2 linked regions of the Anolis sagrei genome follow. The protein of the gene in region 1 purifies or fractionates together with the protein of each later gene. This does not show direct contact. Links are inferred from orthologs where the notes say so. Each region holds a gene or a part of one and is shown in the gene's direction. Other genes may lie near its edges. The genes, in order: TESK1 and RABEPK.

Region 1 (7,500 bases):
GCTCAAAGTGTGACAGACAGAGACGCTGTTCACCCGCCCTGTTCTGGAAGGAGAGAGAGGGTGTATTCGGAGAGTGGCAGATCTGCACGGGAGCAGCCTGGTCCCTTTGGGGCTTCTTTCTCAAGGGAAGAGCGAAGAAGTGCGCTTTCGGAGTCTTGGATTTTGTGCAGGGAGTCAGCTTCTGCTGGAGGGAAAACAAAGATCTAGCACTTGGCATTGTTCTTAGGGAAAGAAGTTTTGTCATCTCGCCATTTTGAAGTTTTGGCGTTATGGGAGTTTTGGAACTATGTATTGGAAAGACTGCAGGGAAGCAAGGTCTGGCCTAACAGGTGCTTCTCCAAGGAGGGAGAAGAGGATAGGGTCATATTTGGATGCATGTAGAATCATAGAATCCTAGAATCAAAGAGTTGGAAGAGACCTCCTGGGCCATCATCCAGTCCCACCCCATTCTGCCAAGAAACAGGAATATTGCATTCAAATCACCCCTGACAGATGGCCATCCAGCCTCTGCTTAAAAGCTTCCAAAGAAGGAGCCTCCACCACACTCCCTCCGGGGCAGAGAGTTCCACTGCTGAACGGCTCTCACAGTCAGGAAGTATTCCTCATGTTCAGATGGAATCTCCTCTCTTGTAGTTTGAAGCCATTGTTCCGCGTCCTAGTCTCCAAGGAAGCAGAAAACAAGCTTGCTCCCTCCTCCCTGTGGCTTCCTCTCACATATGTATACGTGGCTATCATATCTCCTCTCAGCCTTCTCTTCTTCAGGCTAAACATGCCCAGCTCCTTAAGCCGCTCCTCATGGGGCTTGTTCTCCAGACCCTTGATCTGCTCCCTCCTCCCTGTGGCTTCCTCTCACATATTTATTATACATGGCACTCATCATATCTCCTCTCAGCCTTCTCTTCTTCAGGCTAAACATGCCCAGTTCCCTAAGCCGCTCCTCATAGGGCTTGTTCTCCAGACCCTTGATCATTTTAGTCGCTCTCCTCTGGACACATTCCAGCTTCTCGATATCTCTCTTGAATTGTGGTGCCCAGAATTGGATGAATGCGTGTACATGTGTGTGAATGTTATGTGAAAACGTAATTCCCCTTTGTTTGTTTGTTAACCAATGTAATTGTGAATCCAATGTAGTTGCACAGAGTCTGTATGTCTGTCTGCCCAATGTCATTCTTGGTCTAAATGTTCTTCTGTAATCTGATCTACCTTCTCACACTGGAAATTGCAATCAAAAGAACCTATGCTTCAACTGACCACCTTGATTAGCATACGATGGCCTGACTGTGCCTGGAGCAATCTTTTGTTGAGAGGTGATAATGTCCTTGTTGTAGGTTTTTTCAGGCTATATGGCCATGGTCTAGAGGCATTCTCTCCTGACGTTTCGCCTGCATCTAGAGGCATTCTCTCCTGACCTTTCGCCTGCATCTAAACCGCGTTGAGTTGCCAGTTAGGCTGAGAAACTGCGGTATACAAGTATAGTAAAATAAATAAAAAAAATAAATAAGCATCCTCAGCGAGAGTGAGGTCTGTTGGAACTAGGACAATGGGTTTATATATCTGTGGAATGATGACCAGGGTGGGACAAAGGACTCTTGTCTGCTGGAGCTAGGTGGGAGTGTTTCAACTGATCACCTTGATTAGCATATAATGGCCTGACAGTGCCCGGAGCAATCTTTTGTTGAGAGGTGATTAGATGTCCTTGTAGGTTTTTTCAGGCTATATGGCCATGGTCTAGAGGCATTTCCTCCTGACGTTTCGCCTGCATCTATGGCAAGCATCCTCAGAGGGAGTGAGGTCTGTTGGAACTAGGAAAATGGGTTTATATATCTATGGAATGATGACCAGGGTGGGACAAAGGACTCTTGTCTGCTGGAGCTAGGTGTGAATGTTTCAGCTGACCACCTTGATTAGCATTTGAAGGCCTGGCAGTGCCTGGAGCAAACTTTTGTTGAGAGGTGATTAATAAACTTTATTTGTACACCCCCCTGCCCCCACGTTCTCAAAGGGGACTCGGGATGGCTAACATGAGGCCAAGCCTGGAATTACAATACAACAAAATAAAATACATGAGACAACAGAATAGGAGATAAACAAATGCAAAATAACATGATGAAGACATAAATGATCAGCATGGAATGTCCTTGCAGTTGCGAGGCCTGGCTGCTTCCTGCCTGGGGGAATCCTTTGCTGGGAGTGGTTAGCTGGCCCTGATTGTTTCCTGTCTGGAGTTCCCTTGCCTTGTGGGTGTTGCTCTGAGGGTCCAAAAGGGGGGGGCAGTCTGGCTGGGATACAAAGTATCGCTAATTATGATAATAATAATAATAACAACAACACTTAGTTGATAACCCAGGCTACTTCCCTCCTTGAGGAGGAGAAGCAGCAGCTCCCCCGAGTCACTGGGAAAGGGGCCGCCTTGGCGGAACTACATCTACCGGGATCATCCCTCCACACGACGCTGAAGAGAACGGACCGGAAGGAGGGAATGAAGGAAGGCCGGAAGGAGGCCGAGGCCACGCCCCCTCCCTGGCAGGGGTTAACAAGCTGGCCCCGCCCCTCAGTCTGAGGAGCTTGGCTGGGCCTGGCGCAGGAGTTCAGGCCTTGGCCACGCCCCCCCGTGACATCAAGGCCACGCCCCCCGATTCGCCCCGCCCCTTAGTCTGGGGCGCTGCACTAGGCCCCGCCCTCTCCACCGCCTCCTGCTTCTGCTGGCCTATCTGGCGCAGGCGTTAAAGTGCCGGCCCCGCCCCCTTCGTGACGTAGAGCCCCGCCTCCTTCACCGCCCCGCCCCTTAGTCTCTTAGAAAAGATGGAAGGCCAAGCGCCGGGAGGAGGGGTTAAGGTGATTGCCCCGCCCCTTTCTTCGCCTCGCCCCGCCCCCTTCGTCGCTGTGCTCGGGAGCACCCTGCCGCAGGGGGAAAGGCTCTGGCCCCGCCCCCTCGTGACGCAGAGGCCCCGCCTCCTTCACGCCCCGCCCCTTAATCTCAGGAGGAGAAATGGGAGGACAGGCGCCGAGGTAAATGCTCTGGCCCCGCCCCCTCGTGACGTAATAGCCCCGCCCTCACCGTTGCCCCGCCTCCTTCACCGCCCCCGCTTCTGGAGGCATGTCTGGCGCAGGCGGTAAAGCGCTGTCCCCGCCCCTTTCGTGACGTAGAAGTCCCCGCCTCCTTCATTCCCCGCCCCTTCCTCTCAGGAGTTGCGCAGAGAGAAGAGAGAGAGATAGGTTGAGGCGATGTCCCCGCCCCCTTCATGACGTGTGGCCCCGCCTCCTTCACGCCCCGCCCCCTAGTCGGGGTGCCTCGGTAGAGCCTGGCGGAGGATTAAAGGCTTTGGCCCCGCCCCCTTCGTGACGTAGAAGCCCCATCTCCTTCACGCCCCGCCCTGCTTGAGGGGCTGAGGGGGAAAAGGAAAGGGCCTGAGGCCGCGAGGTATGCTGGGAGTTGGAGTCCAAAACACTCTGAGGGAAGAAAGGCCCAAGTTGCGCAGGGAGGAGGGAGAGACGGCTTAAGGCGATGTCCCCGCCCCCTTCATGACGTTGAAGTCCCCGCCCCCTTCACGCCCCGCCCTTTACTCTCAGCAGCTGCGCAGAGAGGAGAAAGAGAGAGAGAGATAGGTTAAGGCTTTGGTCCCGCCCCCTTCGTGACGTAGAAGCCCCCGCCCCCTTCACGCCTCGCCCCTTAGGAGCTGAGAAGGAGGAGAGAGAGATAGAAGCCCAGGCGCAGCTGGGGTTAAGGCGATGGCACCGCCCCTTCATGACGTAGAGGCCCCGCCCCCTTCACGCCCCGCCCCTTAGAAGCTGAGAAGGAGGAGGGAGAGATGGAAGTCCAGGCGCAGCTGGGGTTAAGACGATGGCCCCGCCCCCTAGTGACGTAGAAGCTCCTCCCCCTGTGTGGCCCCGCCCCTTCTTCTGAGGCGGAGGGAGAGATAGGTTAAGGCGGTGTCCCCGCCCCCTTCATGACGTAGAGGCCAATCTCCTTGACGCCCCGCCCCTTAGGAGCTGAGAAGGAGGAGAGAGAGATAGAAGGCCAGGCGCAGCTGGGGTTAAGGCGATGGCACCGCCCCCTCGTGACGTAGAAGCTCCGCCCCCTGTGTATCCCCGCTCCTTCTGTTGAGGCGGAGGGAGAGATAGATTAAGGCGATATCCCCGCCCCCTTCATGACGTGGAGGCCAATCTCCTTCACGCCCCGCCCCTCAGGAGCTGAGGAGGAGGGAGAGATGTCCCCGCCCCCTCGTGACGTAGACGCTCCGCCCCCTATTTGGCCCCGCCCCTTTTTCTGAGGCGGAGGGAGAGATAGGTGAAGGCGATATCCCCGCCCCCTTCATGACGTAGAGGCCAATCTCCTTCATGCCCCGCCCCCTAGGATCTGAGAAGGCGGAGGGAGAGCTGTCCCCACCCCCTAGTGACGTAGAAGCCCCGCCCCTTCTTGTGAGGCCTCAGAAGGAAGGCGGGAGAGAGGAGGCGAAGGAGGAGGGCCTGCCTGCCTGGCTGTTTCCCTCAGCGGGGATGCGCGGGGGCGCGCCGGGAGGGTCTCCGCCTCGTTCTCCCCCTCTTAGGGCCATGGAGGGACCTCGGGGGGTGGCGCCGCCGCCGAGGAGACCGGCTCCGGCTCCCCCTCCTCGTGAGGAAGGCCCCTCGGAGCCCCCTCCTCCTTCGTCCTCCTCGTCGCGGCCTCGCCCCTCGTCGTACCGGGCCCTGCGCAGCGCCGTCTCCACGCTGGCCCGCCTGGACGACTTCTTCTGCGAAAAGATCGGCGCCGGGTTCTTCTCAGAGGTCTTCAAGGTGAGGGAAGGGGGGCGTGGTGGCCCGAAATAGGCCTCAGGCCTTCCCTATTTCCCTCAGAGTGTTTTGGACTCCAACTCCCAGCATGCCTCGCGGACTCAGGCCCTTTCCTTAGGAAAGGGCCTGAGTCCGCGAGGCATGCTGGGAGTTGGAGTCCAAAACACTCTGAGGGAAATAGGGAGGGAAGGCCCAAGTTGGCCCAGGCCTGGTTTATTTACCTGTGTATTTAAAGCCTGGGCGTGGCTCTGGAGGGTCAGGGGTCAAGGGCTAAGGTCCCCCTTCTCCGTTGTTGTTGTTGTTGTTGTTGTTGTTGTTGTTGTTATCATCACCTCCTCCTCCAATTCAGCCCATTAATTAGGACCCTGCAAAGCACCCCAATGACTTAGGAGACCCTCCCTCCCTCAGGAAAGGGCCTGAGGCTGCGAGGCATGCTGGGAGTTGGAGTCCAAAACACTCTGAGGGAAGTAGGGAAGGCCCAAGTTGGTCCAGGCCCTCCCTCTGAAAGATAATGATAATTAAGCCCTAAACGACTCCGGCCCTGTTTACCTCTCCGAACGTATTCTCCCCTACGGACCATCAAGATTACTAAGATCATCTGGAGAGGCCCTGCTCTCGGTCCCACCGGCCTCGCAAGCGCGCCTGGTGGGGATGAGGGACAGGGCCTTCTCGGTGGTGGCCCCTCGACTCTGGAGCTCTCTCCCTTTGGAGGCCAGAACCGCCCCATCCATCCTAACATTTATTACACAGACTGGGCCACAGCCATGAGTTGCTGTGGCCCAGTCTGTGTAATATGTGTTTTGTGTGTGTATATATTTGCGCATATCTGTATATATGTGGTTTTGCACATACGTTGTAATGTATTTTTATTTTTTGGCTTTTTAAATCCCTTCTGCTGTTTTTTCCAGTGTTTTTATGAGTGATGTTCACTCATTGACCTGAGAGGTGTCTTGTGTCCAAATTTGGTGTCAATTTGTCCAGTGATTTTTGAGTTCTGTTAATCCCACAAAGGAACATTACATTTTTATTTATATAGATTTATGACATTTATTTACATATCTCCCTTGCCTTTCTTTCTCAGCCCAGAGTGGACTCAAGGTGGCTTTACATCCAGGGAGCAATTCAATGCCTTAAAACACAATGTACACTTAAATAAATATTAAAATAGAATTTAAAAGTACATTAAAAACAATATATTCAGAGTTAAACACGTCATCCACGAGTGTCATTTGGGCCATTCCAATGGTCATTGCACATGGTTCCAAGTCTATAGCACTAGTTCTCTAAAGGCTTGGTCACAAAGCCATGTTTTCACTCTTGTGGAAGGTCAGGAGGGAGGGGGCTGTTCTAATATCCCTGGGGAGGGAGTTCTATAGCCGAGGGGCCACCACTGAAAAGGAAGGAAGGCTATCGTCTCCGCCAATTGTGCCTGCAAAGAAGGCGAGACTGAGAGCAGGGCCTCCCCAGGTGATCTTAAACTCTGCAGTGATTCAAAGAGGGAGATATGTTCGGACAGATTGTGCAGGGAAAGGCCATCACCCTGTAGTAGGGAAACGGAGTCCAAACTCTGCAGGGGTTTAAAAGTCCAAGAGAACACTTTGTACTTTGCCTAGAAACTCATGGGCAGTCGGTGGAGTGAGATTTACTATCATAATTGACGTGTGCTCACTCCTGGACGTTCCCATAACCAATCTGGCTGCTCTGTTTTGAACCAACTGGAGTTTCTGAACAGCTTTGCATTGCAGGAGTCCGGCCTTGAGATGACCACTGCTGTCTTTGGGTCCTCCAAATCTAGGAAGGGGCGCAGCTGGCGGATCAGAGGGGCTTCCGGCCTCCTTCCTGCAGCCGCACAATCAGTGCAGACGGCGGCCAGCCAGACGGCCCTTAATGCGGCCCTTAATGCCTGGCTTAAGCTAATTCCCCGTGACCCCGTGCCCTTTCCAGCCACAGGCTAGCTGGCCTTTTCCCTGCCCACAGGGCCACTGCAGTAGGCAGGCAGGGACAATGGGAGGAGCAGGGGACTCACTTCGGCCTCTCTGACCTTTGCCCCCTCTCCCTCCACACTCTGTTTTGTAATGTTGTGAGCCACTTTGTACCTCCTGCAAGGATGGGAAAACATCAGAACATCCGGGCAATGTCGCCTGGGCAACGTCCTTGCAGACAGCCAATTATCTCACACCAGAAGTGACTTGCAGTTTCACAAGTCGCTCCTGACACACGCACACAACCCACCCGGAGTTTGAGATCTTCCGGGGAGGCCCTGCTCTCGATCCTGCCAGCCTCTCAAGCACGGTTGGCGGGGACAAGAGATAGGGCCTTCTCGGTGGTGGCTCCTCGGCTGTGGAACACCCTTCCTGTAGATGTTAGGCTGGCACCATCTCTCATGACATTCCGTAGAAAGTTGAAGACCTGGATGTTTGTGCAGGCGTTTGAGTAACTCAGTGCAATTCTGGTAATTTGAACATAGGAACGGAACAATGGACGACGAATTTGGATCACGCTTGGATGATGAGGCGATCGGGGATGGGATTTGTGATAACTGTGTATTGATGATGGTTTATTAGCTAGTAATGGAAATGTGTAATTTAACTGTTATGGTATATTGATTGCTGCTGTTTTTATTGTCTTTGTTGTTTGCTGTCTGGAAACCGCTGTGAGTCGCCCTCGGGCTTGAGATACAGAGGTATACAAAAATAGTAAATAAAATAAATAAATAAATATATACAGTAA
Region 2 (7,154 bases), on another chromosome or scaffold:
CCTTTGAGGCCAGGGCTCACATTCCCACTCATGTAATGGAAACCCATTGACTGGCCATGGGGAAATCACACTCTCTCAGCCTCAAAGGAAAACCACAGCGAACCCTGAGTCCCTCCTCGGGGGTTGAGAAGGGTGGGATAGAAATATTGGAAATAAATAAATGAACCCCTTCTGAACTGATCTTGCAATATATCCATGACATCTTTGCCTTAAGAGCTGCAATAAGTTAGAAAGCACTTGAGAGCAGCATATACCAAAATAATTTAAAAAAAAAAAACTTACTGCTGCTACTGTGAGCATGTCAAACACTTTGGTGCAATACCGCCAAGCGTTAGCGTTGCCATATTTGGTTTGGCACTCATCTAATGCAGAGAGAAGGAAAAATTAAAATGGTTTGTCATAATTTCAAAGTCAGTTACAGAAAGCATGTAGCTCTTCTACACTGAAATAAAGTCAATTCATGTCAATGTTTATGTTGATTGCAAACTTACCATAAAATCCATACACTTGTGTTATCTGCCTACTTTCGTGATTTCCCCGAAGGAGTGTGATGCGATCGGGCCATTTCGCTTTCAGGGCCAGAAGGTAAGTAAACGTCTCAAGGCTGTAATAGCCCCTGTCTACAAAATCTCCCTGCAATTAAAACAACAGTTTAGTGCACACCGTCCAGTAACTATAACATAGAAAGCGAAATGTAAATTTAAAAAATGATTATTGACAAGGATCTAATTGTTTATTTCCTTCCCCACTAGCCCTCATTAGGCTACAAACAAACAAACAACATCATAAAGAGGCGAGACACGCTGAGTAGCAAAACAAAAGAAACAGCTACCTTGAAGATTAAGTTGCAATGTTATGACATTAGTAAATGTATACATTTTCAGATTTCTATTTATACACACCATAAATATGTAGTTTGTGTCGGGAACTTGGCCTCCAGTTCTGAACAATTCACATAAATCATAAAACTGAAAGGCAAAAAAAGAAGACAATGTTAAAGATTATATCAAAGCAGAGGGTGCTGGTTGGTATTTATGAATTTTAATAGTGTTTATTGCTGTATTGTTTTGAATTATTAATTGTTATTACTCCTATATTTAATTATATTGTAATGTTTATTAATGGGGCCAAAGTGGCACAATGGGTTAAACCCTTGTGCTGCTAAATTGTTGACCTAAAGGTTGGCAGTTCGAATTCATGGAATGGGGTGAGCTCTTGCTGTTAGCCCTAGCTCCTGTCAACTTAGCACTTCAAAAACATACAAAGGTAAATAGATAAATAAGTACTGCTACAGCAGGAAAAGACAGCAGTCTTGCAGGCCACATGACCAGGAGGTGACAACACAGGCTCCTCGGCTTGCAAATAGAGAACACCTCCCCCAGAGGCAGAACAGAGCACTACACCTCCAGAAACCGGAAATGAGAAAGGACAATCCTTTGCCATGTCTGTGTTTGTGTCTCTTATTGTATGGGACTGTAAGGCATTGAACGTTGGCCAATGTCTGCTGTAAATGCTGTTATCTGCTCTTGAGTCCCCTCGGGGAGATGGGTGGAATATAAATAAAGTGCATCATCATCATTTTTAATAATGTAATGCAATATAATACTACTAATAATATTATTATAATAATTATATATTTTCTATTACATGTAATATTATTTATTATTTATTTATTTATTTATTTATTTGCTTTATTTCTATACCGCATTTTTCAGCCCAAACAGGCGACTCAATGGTACAATTACATGGTACAATTATCAAACAGTGTCAGTGCAATTAAAACATAACAATGCAAAAAGGAGGATCAACAGCATCAATCCACAACAATTAACAATCAAACAAGACAAATCAACAAAACAAACATAACATAACGCCTCAGTTGAATCAGATCCGTTCTCATAATCATTCTGCCATTCCTATGTTCCATTTACCGTCTTCCTTTGATTGGTTGCACTGCTTAACCAAACGCTTGTTCATAAAGCCAGGTCTTAACCATTCTCCGAAACGTCAGCAACGAAGGTGCCTGTCTGATGTTTGCCGGTAAGGCATTCCATAGCCGAGGGGCCACCACTGAGAAGGCCCTGTCTCTCGTCCCCGCCAAGCGAGCCTGTGACGTAGGCGGGATCGAGAGCAGGGCCTCCCCAGACGATCTTAATGTTCTATTATTAATAATATTACAATATAATGGTATAGTACAATATAGTAATAAATAATACTGATATTGTACTATGCTAATAACATAATATATTGTATGTATATATATCTTGTAAGCTGCTCTGAGTCCCCTTCGGGGTTAGAAGGACGGCATATAAATGTCATTAATAATAATAATAATAATAATAATAATAATAATAATATACATTAGTACACAATAAACAAGATCACCATGCTGGCTTTTGTACTGGAACACATGTCAGACACTTCTCAAGCGTCTAAGACTGTGTGATGTATGAACAAATAATGAGTGCATATCTGAGTAGGGCAGCCGTTTGCAGCTGACAGATGGTAATTTTGCCAGCGCTGATTGTTTTTAAATGCAGGTCAAGGTCTTTAGGCACTGCACCCAGTGTACCGATCACGTTAAGCTATAGCAACTATTGCTTAGAAAGCCAAAACCACTATATGGAAGAGGAAAATACCATCAAATTCTCCACAGTATGTAAATGCGTGAGAAATCTCACCTGTCCATGGATGTCGCCACAGACTGTAACTGGGGTAGAAACCGGCTGCACATTTGATTCTTCTAAGAGCAGGTCACACACGTAGTCACATAAGCGCTAGAACGAGGACATCGTTTTAATACAAGAGCTCTCCATATTGTGAACAACATAATTGCAAATAAAAACACAGGAACATTTCTGGCTAGTAATGGCTGAAATGACCACATTGTGCCAACAGAAGTAAAACCATACCATCTCCAAGCCCAGTTCGAAGTGCTTCTTGTAACCTTTAAAGCTTGAAACACCTCAACTGAAAGATCATTTCTTGCTCCCTCTTCCTTGTAACATCCTTTCACATATTTGTACATGGCCCTCGTGTCCAAAACCCTCGTGTCTCCTCTCAACCCCTCAATAGAATAGATCAAAGGATGGATAGAATAGAACAGATCAATGGAATGAATTTAGTGTTTATATACAATACACACAGTGCATGACTTCTCTATATCTCCATCTAAACCTGGCCTGGGTCAACTTAAGCCTTCCCTCCAGGTGTTTTGGACTTCAATTCCCACAATTCCTAACAGCCTACCGGCTGTTAGGAATTGTGGGAGTTGGAGTCCAAAACACCTGGAGGGAAGGCCCAACTTGGCCCAGGCCTAGTGTAATAGGCTTCGGGCCCTCTTCCTCCTCCAGGCCTCACCTTGAGGTCGTTCTCGGGCAGGTATTTGCAGAGCCGTGCGATCTCCACATACTTATCCAAGTCCAGCGGCGCCATTTTGGAAAGCGGAAGGAAGAAGGGGCATAGGAGAGTCAAGGGACAGGAAGCGAGAGCGGCCACTTCCGGATTGTGTCAGAGGACATCCGCTCCTGAGCGTCCCGGCCTCTGCGCAGGCGCAGAAGGCGCCCTCTCCTCCTCTGTCGGCTCTACGCATGCGCCGAAGAAGCCCTCTTTCCTCTCAAAGGCCCTTTCCTTCTCCCGCTTTGTGCCCAGACTCTGCGCAGGCGCAGAAGACTCCCTCTCCGCCTCCGAAGGGCCTCCCCTTCGCCGCTTCTGCGCAGGCGCAGAAGACACCCTCTCCGTTTGCGAAGGGGCTTCCCTTTGTATTCCGGCCCTTTACGCATGCGCAGAGGAAGCCCTCTTTCCTCTCAGAGGGTTTGTGCCCAGCTTCTGCGCAGGCGCGGAAGACACCTCCGTTTTCCGATGGCGCTTCCCTTTGTATTTCCTCCCTGTACGCATGCGCAGAGGAAGCCCTCTTTCCACTCAGAGGGTTTGTGCCCAGCTTCTGCGCAGGCTCAGCAGACACCCTCTCCACCTCCGAAGGGCCTCCCCTTCGCAGGCGCAGAAGACACCCTTCCGCTTCCCTTTGTCGCTCTATATTTCCGCCCTTTGCGCATGCGCAGAAAACCCTCTTTCTTCTCAATGGTCCTTTTCGTTCGCGCTTCTTTTCGTTCGCGTCTCTACGCATGCGCGGAAACATTCCTTCCGTCTCCGAAGGCCTTTTCGGTCTCTCTGTGTTCGGCTTCCGCGCATGCGCAGAGGCGTTTGGATTGGTTCTTGGCGAAAAAGGTGGCAGGTCGACTGCAGCAGCCTGGAGGCGGGGCTTAAAATCTCCTAGCAACGACGAAGAAGGCGTGGCGACAGCACCAAACCCCGCCCCCTTTGCATCAATGTCGCCAGCGGCGCTGGAAGAGCTGAAGCCTGGGAGCAAACCGGAAGTAGCCAGCTGGTGCGCTGTAAACACGGGTCTGCGGTGCACGTGTGAATGCAGATGGGGGAATGAATGCGTGTTTTAATGAAATATGTTTTAATGTTTTAATGAAATATGTTTGTCTCACCAAAGTCCTAGAATATAGGGCCAGGGTGGTTCAAGTGGTATGAAACTGGGTTAACTCAGCAGTGTAGATAAGGAATGGGTCAACTTCGGCTCTCCCTCCAGGTGTTTTGGACTTCAATACCCACAATTCGCTGTTAGGAATTGTGGGAATTGAAGTCCAGAACACCTGGAGGGAGGGCCGAAGTTGACCCATTCCAGATATAGATATTCCGAGCTGTGGGTGAAATGTCAGGAGAGAATGCTTCTGGAACATGGCCTGCAAAACTCACAGCAACCCATTAAATTATTATTATTATTCTATTTGTAGGTACTCCCTGGTTCCCTTTGGGGAGGGCCCTTGCCCCCGCGTCGGCCATGTCTCGTTTCACCTCCCGAACAACAAGAAAGGCACCGTCCTCATCGTCGGAGGGGCCGACCCGAACGGCAGCTTCTCCGACTCCTATACCCTTGACCTCGGTGAGGGATCAAACCGCATTAACTCCCCGGTGTAGACGTTTTTTGTTTATGTATTTGGTTTCATTCTGCTGTAATATGTTGTCCGGGCTTGGCCCCATGTAAGCTGTTTCGAGTCCCCACTGGGGAGATGGTGGCGGGGTACAAATAAAGATTATTATTATTATTATTATTATTATTATTATTATTACTTGGACCAAGTGGTGCTTTCTCACCTGTTTGTCTCCCAACAGATGCGCACAAGTGGAGCGCCCCAAAGTGGTCAGGCCTTTTGCCCCGATACGAACAGGCTGCCTTCATTCCCGAAAGCCAGCCCACAAAGCTCTGGGTCTTCGGAGGAGCCAGCGAAGGTGGCAACCGGAATTGCCTGCAGGTCTTGGACCTTCGTAAGTATTTCTTGTTTTCTACGAAGGTTGAATGAAAAGTAATGTCTCCACCTTCGTAACTTCTCAATAGATGGCAGTACTGGTATGTGGCAGGTACTGGCTTGTCCAGTAGACTCTCCTCTACAGTTCCATTTTGGCGGGAAGCCTTAGCATTGAACTGTTGTGTTGTTAAAGTGCAAAGTATGGAACCCTGCGCAGATGGTCAGTCAATACGACTTAAGCAATGTGCAGTCATTGAATTCTTGACAGCAGAAGATGTCACCTCAACACCAGGGGCTCCATTTCTAATAAATAATAATAATAATTTATTTCTTACCTCCCTCTCCTTTAAACTTACTCACCCAACAACGCACAGTACTCACATCAACACAACCACCACAAGCAGCTTGCATTCTCTGATGAATCTCTTTTGGGGTGACACCTTCTGCTGTCAAGGATTCAATGACTGTGGCTGGCATGACTGCATGAAACACCATTACCTTCCCGCCGCATATTTTCAAACTGCTAGGTCAGCAGGAACTAGGGCTAACAGTGGGAGCTTCCCCAGCTCCCCCAATTCAAACCACCTACCTTTTGGTCAGCAGCTCAGCAGTTTAATCTGCTGTGACACCAGGGGCTCCATTTCTAATAAATAATAATAATTTATTTCTTACCTCCCTCTCCTCAAGGTGGGGCACAACATTGTTGAATGCATCTGTAAAAGCAGTATTTAAAAAAAGCTTGTCTTCTGTGCTATGCTAATAATGTAATATATTGTATATACATATAATATTTATATTATATACAATATAATATAATATTTATATTATGATCTAATTCAATATAATACTAATAATATATTATAATTAAATATTGTATATTACATGTAATATTACTAATAATATTATAATATAAAGATATAGTAAAATATAGTAATAAATAATACTGATATTGTACTAGGCTAATAATATAATATATTGTATGTATATATATCATGTAAGCCACTCTGAGTCCCCTTCGGGGTGAGAAGAGCGGTATTTAAATATCATAAATACATAAATAAATAAAAACTGCTTTGGATCATAACTAAGATCCCCATGGGCCTTTTAAGCATATACCTATGATATTGATATATCCTGAGGCAGTGTGGGATATTTGGGGACCCCTCCACCAGCACCAAGTGCCGCTCTAGGCCAGAGTGAAGAGAGTACAATATCAGTATTATATATTACTATATTGTACTATATCATTATATTTTAATATTATTAGTAATATTACATGTAATATAAACTATATAATTAAAATATATTATTAGTATTATTTTATATTACATTATAATATTATAAATATTATATGTATATACAATATTATATTATATTATATTATATTATATTATATTATATTATATTATAATGTGGAAGGACGGCTGTAGTTCCTTCCAAAATCCACTGACCAAACAATGGTTTGTCTGCTTTCCTCCTTAGAGACTGGCACATGGGAGAAGCCGGAGGTAAGCGGGACTCCTCCATCCATTCGGACCTTTCACACGTCCACAGCGGCCATCGGGGACCGTTTGTATGTCTTTGGAGGCGGCGACAAAGGAGCGGACCCTGTTCAAGACCAGCAGCTTCACATATTTGACTCAGGTTAGCTCTTGAGTTTTGGTTCTTGGGAAGTAAAAGAGGTCCCTAGAGTTGGAAGAGATCTATGAGCTTTTAAGTAGAGACTTGTTTATTTTGTCAAAACACATCCTGTGATTTTCGACTGCTTCAAAGTACAGACTGAATGGCATCTGTCGGGAGGGATCGGATTGTGCCTTCCTGCCTGGCAGAAGGGGGTTG

What was found.
Region 2: the proteins of TESK1 (region 1) and RABEPK purify together in Homo sapiens (affinity purification with mass spectrometry; 3 studies listed by BioGRID and IntAct, with this or other methods). This does not show direct contact. The link is inferred for Anolis sagrei from reciprocal best matches to the Homo sapiens genes TESK1 and RABEPK.

The regions. Positions count from the first base shown.
Region 1 is NC_090022.1:303,263,939-303,271,438, reverse strand, and holds the start of TESK1 (dual specificity testis-specific protein kinase 1), read left to right. Parts: upstream 1-4,393; 5' UTR 4,394-4,497; coding exon 4,498-4,773; intron 4,774-7,500. UniProt on the Homo sapiens protein: Dual specificity protein kinase activity catalyzing autophosphorylation and phosphorylation of exogenous substrates on both serine/threonine and tyrosine residues.
Region 2 is NC_090031.1:6,409,783-6,416,936, forward strand, and holds the start of RABEPK (rab9 effector protein with kelch motifs), read left to right. Parts: upstream 1-4,067; 5' UTR 4,068-4,124; coding exon 4,125-4,387; intron 4,388-4,802; coding exon 4,803-4,951; intron 4,952-5,181; coding exon 5,182-5,334; intron 5,335-6,797; coding exon 6,798-6,959; intron 6,960-7,154. Other genes in the region: PPP6C (serine/threonine-protein phosphatase 6 catalytic subunit), read right to left, coding at 283-362, 492-633, 903-968, 2,682-2,777, 3,361-3,435. UniProt on the Homo sapiens protein: Rab9 effector required for endosome to trans-Golgi network (TGN) transport.